Arabidopsis thaliana: one gene and its partners. The protein of the gene in region 1 purifies or fractionates together with the protein of each later gene. This does not show direct contact. Each region holds a gene or a part of one and is shown in the gene's direction. Other genes may lie near its edges.

Region 1 (4,693 bases):
GAGAACAGCGAGTGGCTTGTACGCGCCGGTGATAGGCGGACGGAGAGTGTTGAGGACGAAGCTTTTGGTGGACGCAGATGGGCTGAGAGAACCGTCGGAGTCGTTGCTGTTGCTTGTGGTTGAGGAAGAAGATGAAGACATCAAGACTCCTTCTTGGATTGATCTCACCATCGTATCAAGAGATTCAAGATTTCGTTTCTATTTTGGAACAGAGAAACCAACAAAATTGGAGCGTTTGAGGAAATGTTAAAAAGAGTATTTATTTTTAAAAAGGAGGAGAAGGTGCAACGGCTACATTGACAGGTGGCGTAGCCTCCTTTTTTTGCCTTTTGCTTATCATTTGCGCATTTTCATTAATTCGTGATATATGGCTCATGGAATCTTATAATATATGAAACCACTTCAGGAGCCTTAAATTTAATGTGTGCATATCATAGTAACGGATTGATCATTGTTCTCTTGTTTGACCAGTGATGTTAATTGGACCATATGTGGATACTGTAACGTTAAGGATTATGAAAATCAAGATATAGATATATGTATTTTTCAAGTATACGATATACCAAATTAGTTACGACAAAATGCGAATGAGTTGGTAGTAATGAGTAAACCTCAAAATACTGTTTTTTTTTTGTCAACAAACTTATGTTATTATACTTGGATGACTTAAATAAGCTAAACCGAAAAACATTGTTTAACCTCAAAATACTTATTTAATTAGTTGGTAGCATCGTTACATATTATAATTACGACTACGAGTTAGATTCTCAAATAATATTCCCAAATGGATATATTTACATCGATTGATGCATGCTTATTTGTAGTGATCGTCCCTTATGTATATTATGTTTTTATTTTATTTTTTGAACATAGTATAATATTGGTGGGAGAAGACAAAAATAAGGGAGCTCTGCCATCTAATACGGGAATCAAGATATCTGTTTTACATCAAACAAAGACTAGTGTGATGAAATGAAAGTTAAGTTAACAACAATAAAAAACAAAATTAGCTGAAAATGTAATCAAATGAGAGATCCGAATCCGATCTCCGCTAAGTAAAGCGTAGTGGGAGCGTAAATTCGCGTGAGTCTGATTCTGAATCGTATCATACATACCAAATCAAACATTAACGTTTATGATCTTACTTACCCATATCTTATTTCTTAATTTGTTTGGTTGTTTGTAAATGAGAAATACACTATGATAAGAGAAGAAGATCTAAATGAGGCATAGATCTCTAGATACCAAAACAGATAACGCCACCAACTAACATCCAATTAAGGATATATAACACGGCATCTCCCTCTTTAGTAAGCTTACGACCAAAGTAGTGTGACTAGTGCGGAACATTTTTGCAGTTAATACTACTTAGCCTCAATTCTTAATTATGACCGTATGGGACAGGGTAGGTAGGCACAAAGCGGATATTGTTTTTAATATATTTGCATCGAATTTGGTTTGTTGGATCGATAATCTTTTAATATGTATCCGCTTTTGAACTAGTCTATTCTCCGATTGTAGAATGAAACATCTATCCGAAATTCTAATTTGTAGTATTAGTGATTTGTTTTGTTTTTAACAGTATTTTAATATTTGTTTAAATTTGTAAACTTATGGTTATCCAGACTTTTTGAATCATTCAAAAGTGGAAAACAGATCGAATGGAAGTATAGAACACTACAATATATTTTCATATTTTTCTTAGCCGTAAGCCACTAATATTGGATGGACATAAACATAAGAGACCCCACAATATTTATCAGATTAAGCCTTTATTCACATTACAATGTTTCGTTCTCAACTTCTCATCATAACGTGAATAAAAGTAGGAGTTAGAATTAGAACACAACATCTCTAACAAATCTCTTATCTGCATTGCTTTGGAGAGACATGTTTGTACAAGAAGAAAAATGTTTATGGTCAGTCCGTTTTTTTCATATTGATTACCTTTTAAATCCCATTTGGTATTAAAAAAAACCCACTTCTAAGATATGTTTCGCTTTTTATGGTAACAAGACATATAACTTTTCAAAGTTACTGAATGGAATTCTTGACAGAAGTTGTTAGGACACTAAATAATGGAAAATCAAAATCAAGGGTTACATTAGAGACACGCGTACATCAATTATTTCTTAAAATGCAACTTGGTGTACGACTTTTAATTCTTGAGTCCTCAAACCCGAGCATTACTCCACCCTTTCTTTTCGCAATAATCAAGATCCTAATTTAATTCCCTATAAGTATTTTTTCTAATAACTATGAAAATAAAGAAAAATAAGCGTTGAAGTCATAAGTTTGAACAAAGACGCGTGACCTGGAATCGTGCTCAAGAAAAAATATCACAACTAATGAAAACGCAAGGTCATGAGTATTGACCTTGACCGGGCAAGAGCCTAGAGCCAAGAGGTGATGTGTACTTAAATGTGATAGATGCTCCCTTCTTCTTCTCTCATCACTAACAAATTAAGAGAAGCTGATCATCAGATTGAATCAAAGACAGACTTTGACTTTTCTTTGTGATCGAAGATATGGCGGATGCTTTCACAGATGAACAGATCCAAGAGTTTTACGAAGCCTTCTGTCTCATAGACAAAGATTCCGATGGTCTGCTTTGTTCTCTCTCTTTCTTGTTCGATTTGATACACAAATTTATTCAGAATCGATCGGTTTGATGATGTTATGATGCATGTGAAACAGGGTTCATCACGAAGGAGAAGCTAACGAAAGTGATGAAGTCGATGGGGAAGAATCCAAAGGCGGAACAACTGCAACAGATGATGAGCGATGTTGACATCTTTGGCAACGGTGGCATCACTTTTGATGATTTCTTGTATATTATGGCTCAAAACACTTCTCAGGTAAAATATATATACACACTTAAAACCGTTTAGTTATAGTAAAGATTGATAATTGTAGAGAAAAGTTAATAATGAAAAAATTGGTTGTAGGAATCAGCATCGGATGAGTTAATTGAGGTATTCAGAGTGTTCGACAGAGACGGAGATGGTCTCATATCTCAACTTGAGGTAAATAAATTGTCTAACTATTTACCAAATAGTACATTGTCCTGACATGGAAACAATAAAAAACGAGTTACATACATATATAATAAGATTAAGTGATCATGTAGATGGATATAACGAAAGAAGAGAAATTACTAAATGTTACTTTTTTGAAGACCTTGTTATTATTATCTTTATAATCTACTATCATTCACTCATTACAACACAAATTTTTGTCGCCATAAGAAACTCCATTGCTCATATGGTCTTGTTTTTTTTTTCTCAAACCGACACGGCGACAACACAACAATCGAGAGACACATAGTCACATACTACTTGAAAAATACTTCGTTATCTGAATTAAAAAGATTTATATTCAAAAATAATGCAAAAAAGATTGGTCATTTAACTTGGTCAAATGGTTATTAGCTTACTTTTATAATATAAGCCATTCTCTTAACTCTTAAGTCTTAACTATAGTTTATTTAGCCATTTCTCCTAATTTCTATAAACGAAATGCAGTTGGGAGAAGGAATGAAGGACATGGGGATGAAGATAACAGCAGAAGAAGCGGAGCATATGGTCCGAGAAGCCGACCTTGATGGCGATGGTTTTCTTTCTTTCCACGAATTCTCTAAAATGATGATTGCTGCCTCTTATTAGCATTTTGTGAAATGCCATGATTTAAGAGTTTGTTTTTGCACAATTACAACTATATTTCAATATGTTACTATATTTTCCCAACATATAATTAAAGTGTGTGTTACTGAATCAATGATTTTTTTCGGTCGATAAAAAACTATAATATTTTTCCTATCCAAAATTCGAACCAAACCAAACCAAACCAAAAGTATTGTTCTGTTTTAAACATATGTTTTTTAAACCGGAAAATCCAAACCGAACTAAACCGAGAGTAATTATCTGACTCGGTCACTCGACGGTAGCGTGCCACAATTGAACTGGTGGTCGATCCTTAACTTCCATCTTCAATCCTTGCAAAACCCTAATGAAGAAGCAGTCTGAAGAACCAAAAATCAGTGGTTTTTTAATAAGTAAATGGTGAGAAAATCTGTTGAACTGTCGAATTTGTTTATAACCTATCAGCTTTGCTATAAATTGTTTGTTCCAAATTCCAATTCAAGTCCCCATCATTGAAGGTTAAGTAGCTTTGCTTTTTTGTCTGCCGACGGTTGTTGTAGAAATTTATGATGTTCTTGATGCTTGTCACTTTCACTCATATTGAGATCTGTCTCTCGATTCATGTTTCTTCATCACAGTGGACACAAAATGACCTAGAAGCTGAGATAGTATATTTACATTGAGTAGAGCAATTTAGTACTTGCAATATTCGTTTTAGTAGTGTCTAAAAAAGATAAGGCTTTGGTTGAACTCCATTCTAAAACCCTTACGACTGATTGAGCAAGAATCTTTACATTGATTATAGCTTTGTTTCCGTGGAAAAGTTTCTACAGTCCAGCCATGCAAACAAGGCGATGGCAACATAGGAAGGAGATAGGAGATTGATTAGATTTTTTTTTTGTCAATCAACAACTAGCTGCTGTAGAAGAAACTTTAGATCAGAAAACAGAACAGCTAATCACTGCTAAAGAGTTTTCCTCTTCTTTGTCATGAGACATTCCACCATCTTGTGGATTCTTGATCTTTGTAGCAATCTTCTTGCTCATAGTTGT
Region 2 (4,812 bases), on another chromosome or scaffold:
GAAGTGTAAATACAAATTTAGGGTGCAAAGTGCCAAGATTCATTTTATAAGGATGAATGATGAATGAGATCCAAATAATAATAATAATACAATGAATGAATGACGCAAAAGAGAGTGACGCCATTATAAAAATTAAAATATCATTTGGAGTACTAAAACTAGAAAACAAAAAAGAATGATAAAAGGGAAAATCCACGCGGAGAGAGGTTTGAAATGTCTTCGGTCCAATCCTGTCCTTTTGAATATTGATTTTCTTTTTGATTTTTCTTGCTTTTTATTAATCAACAAATCTGTTTTTTGGAATTACGTTTTTTCTACGTTGAAGTGATTTTTTTTCCTTTTGTAAAAGGCCTACGTTGAAGTAAAATTACATAAATAAATGTATGTTATGAATATCGACCCAAAAAACAAATTATTTCTACACTATACTTTGCGCAAATCAAATCTATCGAAAACGATTTTGGTAATCCCATTCCCATGAGTGAGTTTTGACCCAAAACAAATTTAAAAAAGTAACCATTTCATTAGTAAAACGGTAAATATGGTTCATAAACCTTTTAGTGGTTATTGGTCCTGTACACTACACTCGTGTGTGTCAACTTCAGCTATGAGATTTTTGCTGTAACTTTTTGGATAACGGTTCAATTATTACAAAGGTTATTTCTTACGTATGAGAGGTCCAAATTACAATTGAATAATATTTGATGACATACAAAGTTAAAAAGGATTAATCATAAGAAATGAATGTTGGAATGGAATGCATCTATCGATCTGACTACTTTAGATAGCTTGATGTTGGACTTAGTCAGCAAAGACCTTATCATACTCTTGTTGTATTGTATATATCGTATCACACAGTGACTGGTTTTTTCTACTTTTCTCTTTGGAACATATCAATCATTATGTATAAATAAATTTTGTCCAAATTAATGGCCATTTGTCTCAACCATAAATAAATATTTATTCACACACCTATATGACTATTTGAGATAATTCCATGGTGACTTGGTCAGCAAAAACCTTGTCATACTCTTGGTGTATTATCACATAACTTTGTAGATTATATTCTTATGGAACATATCATATATATTTGTCCAAATTAAACCCATTTGTATTATTTTCCCCTCTCGAGTTTAATATTTCTTATTTAGAAACAGTTAACAACTTGACATAGCTCACATAATCACTCACAGACTATATATGTATAAGCAACTACCATTTTAAATATTATTTAGTTATATTGTTAGACTGCAACTATTATTTATTTTCTTTGCCAAACAAATTTATATTTTTTCATGTTAATACAATATTATATCTTGAACAAATGTATGCTTAAATATATTGACACAAAACAAAAACATATAGGGGTTTTTAGGAAGAAATTTTGTACAGATTAATTAATCCTCATCAGATTTTTATTTTATATCTTATTTTTAGAAGTGTATGATTTTAAAACTAGAACAATCAAATCTTAGTAAATTTCATTCAACATAATTTTTATGTTATTGCTAATCTATTGAATGTTAATAAGAATTGTATTATACCAAATTACCAATATGTGTTTTGATACTTGTACTTAAAACAGAATGTGGAATATCCTTTCCCTTATTAATGATATTAAACATCATTACAATTCATAGTTATAGCAATGAAATATTATCCATAGAAAGGTTGTTGCATAATGCATACTAGTAAAGCATCAACCAACATATTTTGAAAATATTCTTAATCAAATAAAAAACATATATTGGAAATTCTTTAACAGTAGAAAAAAACATATAATAATAGAGAATCTTAATCACATGTACAAAGTCGTAGTTTTGAAAGTGTACATTGAAAGAGACAGTTGTATAACCCTTTGTTGTCTAATTATATAATTAACCCACTATAGTTAAATAAATGATAAACTTGGTTACAACTACATTAACAAAATTGAAATGTTGAATTGGTCAGCCTTTGACCTTATACTCTTTCACTACCACCACCCCACTTATCAATTACACTCTGGCCCTATACTTCCTTATACCAAAGACTTTTCTTCAATTTGAAAGTTTTGTCTCTCTTTTAAAAAGAAATAAAATAATTATTTATGGTTTGGTCATTTGGTCAAATTTTCAAACACTGAAAATCCAATGCCTTTATATACCAAACCAACACTCATCCATTTTTATCACCAATCCTATAACACTCTCATTCTCATCATATCATTCTTCAATCTATATAACCCATTCTTAATTATACTCAACACACATTATATTTTTCTGATCATATCATTCTTTCAGTCCATCTATATAACCAATTCTTGATTTATACTTAAAACACACATTATACATCTTTCTCATCATAGTTTGTATCAATTTCCTAGAGTAAACTACCTAAAGGAAAAAAAAAATCTATTTTGGGAATCATATACTAAAAATGGAAGGAAGAGATATGTTAAGTTGGGAGCAAAAGACATTGCTAAGCGAGCTTATCAATGGATTTGATGCGGCCAAAAAGCTTCAGGCACGACTTAGAGAAGCTCCGTCGCCGTCGTCATCATTTTCATCACCGGCGACGGCTGTTGCTGAGACTAACGAGATTCTGGTGAAGCAGATAGTTTCTTCCTACGAGAGATCTCTTCTTCTGCTAAACTGGTCATCCTCACCGAGCGTACAACTTATTCCGACGCCGGTTACTGTAGTCCCGGTGGCAAATCCCGGCAGTGTTCCAGAATCTCCGGCATCGATAAACGGAAGTCCGAGAAGTGAAGAGTTTGCCGATGGAGGAGGTTCTAGCGAGAGTCATCATCGCCAAGATTACATTTTCAATTCAAAGAAAAGGTAACAAATTGTTGATATCTTTTTTCACAATTCACCAAATTGAATTTAAAAATCTCATTTTTTCTAGAAACTAATTTGAAATTTGGGTAATTTTTGCAGAAAGATGTTACCAAAGTGGTCAGAAAAAGTGAGAATAAGCCCAGAGAGAGGCTTAGAAGGACCTCAAGATGATGTCTTTAGCTGGAGAAAATATGGTCAAAAAGACATTTTAGGCGCCAAATTCCCAAGGAGTTATTACAGATGCACACATCGTAGCACACAAAACTGTTGGGCAACGAAACAAGTCCAGAGATCAGACGGGGATGCTACGGTTTTCGAAGTGACGTACAGAGGAACACACACTTGTTCGCAGGCGATCACAAGAACACCACCATTAGCCTCGCCGGAGAAGCGACAAGACACCAGAGTCAAACCAGCCATTACCCAAAAGCCAAAGGATATTCTCGAGAGTCTTAAATCCAACTTAACCGTTCGAACCGATGGGCTTGATGATGGTAAAGACGTTTTCTCGTTCCCTGATACGCCGCCGTTTTACAATTACGGAACTATCAACGGCGAGTTCGGCCACGTGGAGAGTTCTCCGATCTTCGACGTTGTTGACTGGTTCAATCCAACGGTCGAGATTGACACAACTTTCCCCGCGTTTTTACACGAGTCGATTTATTATTAATTAAAATTTGTAACAGAGAAATAGATAGTAACTAGTAAGTAATGATCAGCGAGAGTTAAAACATAAAAGTACTTAGAGTAATCTAACGATGCATAATAAGGAATGTTCAACAGGACTTGAACATGATTTCAATACTAAGAGAGATTTATCTAGCTACTGGTAGTAGCCGCAGACTTCTTGTTGTAAGCTTCCACTTCCTTTTTGTATGCTTCCATCAGTTTTGCGGCCTTTCCGTTGTAAACTTGCTTCTCTTCTTCACTCAATTCCTGCAAAGACGTATTCGCACAGATAGATTAACAACAGGAAATTGTTACAAGCCAATGTGTTTTGTTGCTAGTAATTGTGATTTTTCATACCTTCCATTTCAGTGAAATGAGAGCAGTAACAGTAGCGTTGTTTGTCCCGGGACGTTCTTCTGTCAATTTCTTCCTTTCGTCCTTGCTGTAAAAACATGATAAGTTAGGAACTTTCTATAAAGACCAATTCGGATTATAACTTGAAGTAAGTTCATACCTGAAGAGAAAGTATGAAGAAGCAGGCTTCTTTGGTTTGTTAGGGTCAACGTTTTCGTTCTTCTTCTTCTTGGTCGCCTTCTCCTTCTGCAAGAGACAAATAATTATGATCCTGTGAGTCTCTGAGTTGAAATAGACCTTGGTGAGTTAAGTGTGAGTGAGAGAGAGTTATTACCTTGATCAGATTATCAGTTTTCTCCTTCTTCTTAAGCATTTGAAGAGCTTCTTGTTTGTGGAGTTTCAAGAGTTCCTCTTCTTCTTTCTTCTGACTCAGGGCTTCTTCTTCCTTTGTCCTCTTGTATTCCTCCATTGCTTGCAGGTATGTCTCCTTGTTCTTCTTTGCCACCTATTTAAACAAGAATACCTCAATCATTCAGTCTTAAGTCTTTAATGGCAGTGAAATGCAAGCATATTTGTATGGAAACAGACCTTCTCGTAGGGTGCCTTTTTCTTGTCTGACAAGTTCTTCCACTCCTCTCCAGTGATCTTTGCGACCTATAACCACATTTAAACTCCATAAGTTAGCTTCACAATTTGACAAAAACTGATCTGGAGAACGAATTAAGTAATTAGATTTACCTCCACGACGCTTTTGTTTTCTTCGCGTAAAGCAGCTCTCCTCTCGTTTGCATAAACAAGGAAGGCAGATACGGGATGTTTTGGCTTCAGAGGGTCCTTCTCCTTCCTGCAAACCATAAACAGCTCTAGTTAGTTTACTATTGATGATCAAATTGATATAGTCACTAAGACTTTTGGTTTTTACTTGTTCTTCTTCTTGTTGTCCTGTTCAGCTTCCTGGACAAAGTTG
Region 3 (4,751 bases), 1.5 Mb from region 1:
GATTTTTAGAAGACATGGTATGAGTTAAAAAAAAAAGACATGGTATGAGTAAAACGAACTTGAAATTGGGTTTGTTGTTGGGTCCAACGAACCGATTGAATTCAATCGCGGACGGAGTTTATATAATGGGCCTAAATCTTAATATGGGCTTTTTGATCTGTTACTGAAAGTTTTTTCTTTTTTTTTTCTTTTTGGACAACTGTTATTGAAAGCAAAAATGTAAAATAGTGAAATAAGAGGGCAAAACGAAGAAAACATCTCTCTGTCTAAAACAAGCAAATAAATGGAACGAAATCCATACCAAGAACAACATTGACGCCGGGTATATATTTCCGTCAGCAGATTCTCCATCTATGGCTCAAACAAATAGATCCAAAATCAAATGAATATGTTTTGGAAATAAATATTATATTTTGTTTCAATGCAAAATTCCAATGATTTGAAGTGAAGTGATTTGATGAAGGAGTTGAAGTGATTTGAGTTTAGATAAAAATTTAGATGATTTTGACGATTTAAAATTTTAGAGAGTTTTGACAATTTTTTAAAATGACATATAAAATAACACATAAGATTAAAAGAGACATTTACGAATAATATTAAAGACATTGAGTTATTTTATGAAATCAATAATGAAACTAATGAAATGACGATTTGGATAATCACCGGACCATTATATAATTTCATTATTTCAGAATAGTGATTTGGATAATCACCGGATAATTAATACTATTATCTAAGTAAAATAATTATGTGAATTTCAGCATAAACTACTAAAATTGCCATTGTGATTTTTCAAAAATAATTTAAATTTGATTAACTAGATGTTAAAATGAGTAATCGGTTCATGGATTAAATCACTTTATAAAATGATCTACCTCCATCATAACCTATTAGATTGAAAGATAGGTTCAGAGTTTGTGCAAAAAAATCTATAGCATACACATCTGAACTATTTCTCTTTGGTCAAAGAATCCTAAGTCTATTTCTGGTATTAAAGATGACATCCGAAAAGCCCTTTTAAAAAGATATTCAGGAATCAGTATAAGATATTCTGAGGGAAGTCAATCAGAAAATGATATTTGGTTAGCTCTGGTGGTCAATATAATTGAAACCCTCAACAGTCCAACCATAATTGAAAACATTTGTTTTTCCTAATCGATGATTTCCACGTTTTACATTAAAATTGTCTATTTCTAACACTGTAGAGTGATTAGTAGTATAAAGATAGTTTGAACGTCAAATATTATACTACATACTGTTTAGTGCTGACTCTTGTCCACCTTATAAACATCTGAAGTCAAAAGGATGCTGAAGTCATTAGAGTAAATATTGAGAGGAAGAAGTCTTATCGTCGCCCCATTTCACTTATCATTGGGTGAGATCGGTCTTGAAGAAAGAGAGTTAGAGAGGAAAAAGAAGAATCTTATTAGCTCTATAATATCTGATATTGCTTCTCATTTAGTTTTTCACTTTTTACATTAAGATTGGTTGTTTGTAACATTATGGAGTGGTTAATAGTATAAAGATAATCTGAATATTATAATATATAATGTAGAGTCTTGTCCACCTAATAACCATCTCTTCAAAAGCATTGTTCTATGATCTGATTTTTCGGAAAGACTCTGCACTTCTGTTGCACTTCTGTTGTTGGACACTTTCTCTTTGCTAATAAACCACTAACACAAGTCCAAGCGACCAGAGAATCCATTTCTTCTTGTTTTATTAGAGCATTCATAATAAGGCCAAGATTATAAATCATCCGAAAAGCCCAAGTGTCCTATGTAATTTATTTTCCAAAGCTCATTTAATTAGATCTAAGCAACTAGGTTCATATATATATAGTCTCTTGTAATGAACATCAAATAGTTAACTTTGAAAGCAATCTCAAAACATTGAGATTTATGTTGTTAAAGAGCTTATTAAGATAGCAACACGAGATTGAAATTAGATAGCTTATTAAAGCTTTAATTAGCTCACACGAACCAATGTGAAATGGGGTTTGTTGTTGGGTCCAAGTCCAACGAAACGATTATATTTCTTGGATGGTAGTTTTAATAATGGGCCTGAATCATATGGGCTTTTTGATGAGACTGTGACGGTAAGAAAATAAAAAAGGGCAAAACCGAGAAAACAGATCTCTCTGTCTCAACTCAAACAATCAAAAGCCCTAGTAAAACCCTAGCCCCCAAAGCCCTTGTGCCATTGAGCCGTTATATAAATCCTTCACTCGCTCCTTGAGAAGACGAATTTGAGATTGCCTCTGCAAAGGTACTTCATTTCGGTGAACCCAATTCATGTTTTCGATGATTTTTGCTTCTCTATTTCTTCGATTTTGCGTTTTATCGCGTTAAAAGCACATATCGAAGGCTTGCAGATAACGTATAATAAAAAACGCCTGCGAGCTCAATATTTGTGCAATATCCTAAAACCATCCATTTGAGGTTTCGATAAATCTCTGTGTTATAAGAATTTATCTTTTCTTATCGACAATTTCGATGGATGGGACATTTATTAATCGGTTTTATGATTTTTAACATTGTATGAGAAAATCTGAGTCAGATCTGAATAATTGAATCCTTATTCGTCTGCATTGATCGGAAAATAGTACCACTTGGGTTTTATCTAGTTTACTTTAAGGTGCTCATAGAGTGGTAATCTCACAATTGTTGTTGTTTGAACAATTTGGGACCTTTGTTTGCATGATTTAGTCTCTTATATACCAATTAGAATTTGGGACCATCTGCTGATTCATATCTTTGTAATTGACAGAGTAAAATGGCGAATCCTAAAGTCTTCTTCGACATCTTGATTGGTAAGATGAAGGCAGGGCGTGTTGTAATGGAGTTATTTGCAGATGTGACTCCGAGAACAGCTAATAATTTCCGTGCTTTGTGCACTGGGGAGAATGGTATTGGGAAAGCAGGGAAGGCTTTACACTACAAAGGCTCAGCCTTTCACCGTATAATCCCAGGGTTCATGTGTCAAGGTGGAGATTTCACTCGTGGGAATGGAACTGGAGGAGAATCTATTTACGGGTCTAAATTTGAAGATGAGAACTTCAAGTTGAAGCACACTGGTCCAGGGATTTTGTCTATGGCTAACTCTGGTCCCAACACTAATGGTTCTCAGTTCTTCATCTGCACAGAGAAGACTTCGTGGCTTGATGGGAAACATGTTGTTTTCGGGAAAGTTGTTGATGGATACAATGTGGTCAAGGCAATGGAGGATGTTGGCTCTGACATGGGAAATCCTTCTGAACGAGTTGTGATTGAAGATTGTGGTGAGCTCAAGAACCCAAGTTCATAAGTTCTTAAAACATTGGGTGGGTTGATCTTGACAGGTTATTCTATCATATGCTGTGAAGCAGAGACAGCATCTTAGCGTTAAGGTCAATCTAGTCTGTGATGCACTACTTTGGTTTTGACTATATCATATGAACCTTAGGAAGTGGTCCATCCTTGTAAGTTGTTTTCTTAAAACTCTTGTGTGAGAATAGGATGGATGATAATAATGGTTAGTTTCTTTATGAAGACATTTGGTTTTGTAGCTTTCTTATTTTGGTGTAGTTAATATGAATGAACCAAACTCTTCTTAGGACTCATTTGCGAATATGTATCCAAAATTGCTGACTTTTCGAATTGGGCAGATTTCACTTCATATGCAGAACAAGATAAACTTTCTGATCATGTGATGATAAATATTGTTTAGCCAACGCATCACACATTTCTTTGAGTAGTTTCTACTTATGGTTAAGTTTCAGCATCAATAGTCAATAGCCAACAATATTTGGACAGTCTTCTTTAAATACTCCAACAACTAGTTTGCCTTGGCAATTAATGTAACTTAAAGTCTAGCCAACTCTTTGGTATTAGCTTCGTTATTTTATACATTTCTTAAAACCATTTTATTCACATTTCTTGACCACTTGGATTCCAACATAGTGGCCAGCCATGCTGCACCACCTCGTCAAAATTACCACAATAATTTGATTTGGTCAAATCATCATTTTTTTGGAAAACAACAACAAAAAAACTTAAACTTTGTATAATAAGGACCCTGGGGTTAAAAGTATAATTATTACTATGTAACAAATCAAAGTCTAAGATGGAAAATACTATAATCCGTTGACTTAAATGTGCTAGAAAAAATAAAGAGGTCGAAGCCAGGTTATCATCGAATAAGACTTTTGCCGCAACCGTGAGAGATGTTCCTGTTTGTTTTTTCTTTTCTAAATGTTGGTTTATAAATAGCATATTTTTTTTCCTTGGCCCCAATAGATAAAGAACCAAACCTATAATCTTCCTCTATAATGAATTTTCATATCTTTCGATTTTTTCAATTTATCCTCGTCGCAGTTTTCATCTTCCACGACTCGTGTTATTCCGATGAAGGTACGTGAATTTTTAGTTTCCTTTTACCAATCATTCAACTTATGTTTTTTTTTTTTTTTTTTTGTTATACCTTACCTTAGTGTACTAATATGAACTCCAACTTTATGAAAAATATGTTTTCGTGTAGCTGGAAACTATAGATTTATGAAAGATGCAACATTAGCACCAAAGTTATCTCACTTCGACTACATAATCATCGGAGGAGGAACCGCTGGATGTGCATTAGCCGCAACGCTCTCTCAAAACGCAACCGTTCTAGTCCTCGAACGCGGAGGTTCCCCTTACGACGATCCAGCGGCAACAGACATCGGAAACTTCGCAAACACACTCTTGAACATAACTCCAAACTCATGGTCGCAG

What was found. Proteins that work in one complex are often made in the same cells at the same time.
Region 2: the proteins of CAM9 (region 1) and WRKY53 purify together in Arabidopsis thaliana (affinity purification with western blotting, with the first as the bait; one study listed by BioGRID). This does not show direct contact.
Region 3: the proteins of CAM9 (region 1) and ROC2 purify together in Arabidopsis thaliana (affinity purification with western blotting, with the first as the bait; one study listed by BioGRID). This does not show direct contact.

What each region holds. Positions count from the first base shown.
Region 1 is NC_003074.8:19,267,150-19,271,842, reverse strand, and holds CAM9 (calmodulin 9), read left to right. Parts: upstream 1-2,184; 5' UTR 2,185-2,528; coding exon 2,529-2,604; intron 2,605-2,697; coding exon 2,698-2,858; intron 2,859-2,948; coding exon 2,949-3,026; intron 3,027-3,524; coding exon 3,525-3,665; 3' UTR 3,666-3,892; downstream 3,893-4,693. Other genes in the region: AT3G51930 (Transducin/WD40 repeat-like superfamily protein), read right to left, coding at 1-171. UniProt on the Arabidopsis thaliana protein: Potential calcium sensor.
Region 2 is NC_003075.7:12,391,346-12,396,157, reverse strand, and holds WRKY53 (WRKY family transcription factor), read left to right. Parts: upstream 1-2,175; 5' UTR 2,176-2,418; coding exon 2,419-2,822; intron 2,823-2,921; coding exon 2,922-3,492; 3' UTR 3,493-3,641; coding exon of another isoform or gene 3,642-3,758; 3' UTR 3,759-3,788; downstream 3,789-4,812. Other genes in the region: 3xHMG-box2 (HMG (high mobility group) box protein), read right to left, coding at 3,642-3,758, 3,849-3,933, 4,006-4,091, 4,180-4,350, 4,434-4,499, 4,584-4,689, 4,768-4,812. UniProt on the Arabidopsis thaliana protein: Transcription factor. Interacts specifically with the W box (5'-(T)TGAC[CT]-3'), a frequently occurring elicitor-responsive cis-acting element. May regulate the early events of leaf senescence. Negatively regulates the expression of ESR/ESP.
Region 3 is NC_003074.8:20,805,542-20,810,292, reverse strand, and holds ROC2 (rotamase cyclophilin 2), read left to right. Parts: upstream 1-2,124; 5' UTR 2,125-2,268; exon of another isoform or gene 2,269-2,441; intron 2,442-2,769; 5' UTR 2,770-2,775; coding exon 2,776-3,306; 3' UTR 3,307-3,727; downstream 3,728-4,751. Other genes in the region: AT3G56060 (Glucose-methanol-choline (GMC) oxidoreductase family protein), read left to right, coding at 4,310-4,391, 4,519-4,751. UniProt on the Arabidopsis thaliana protein: PPIases accelerate the folding of proteins. It catalyzes the cis-trans isomerization of proline imidic peptide bonds in oligopeptides.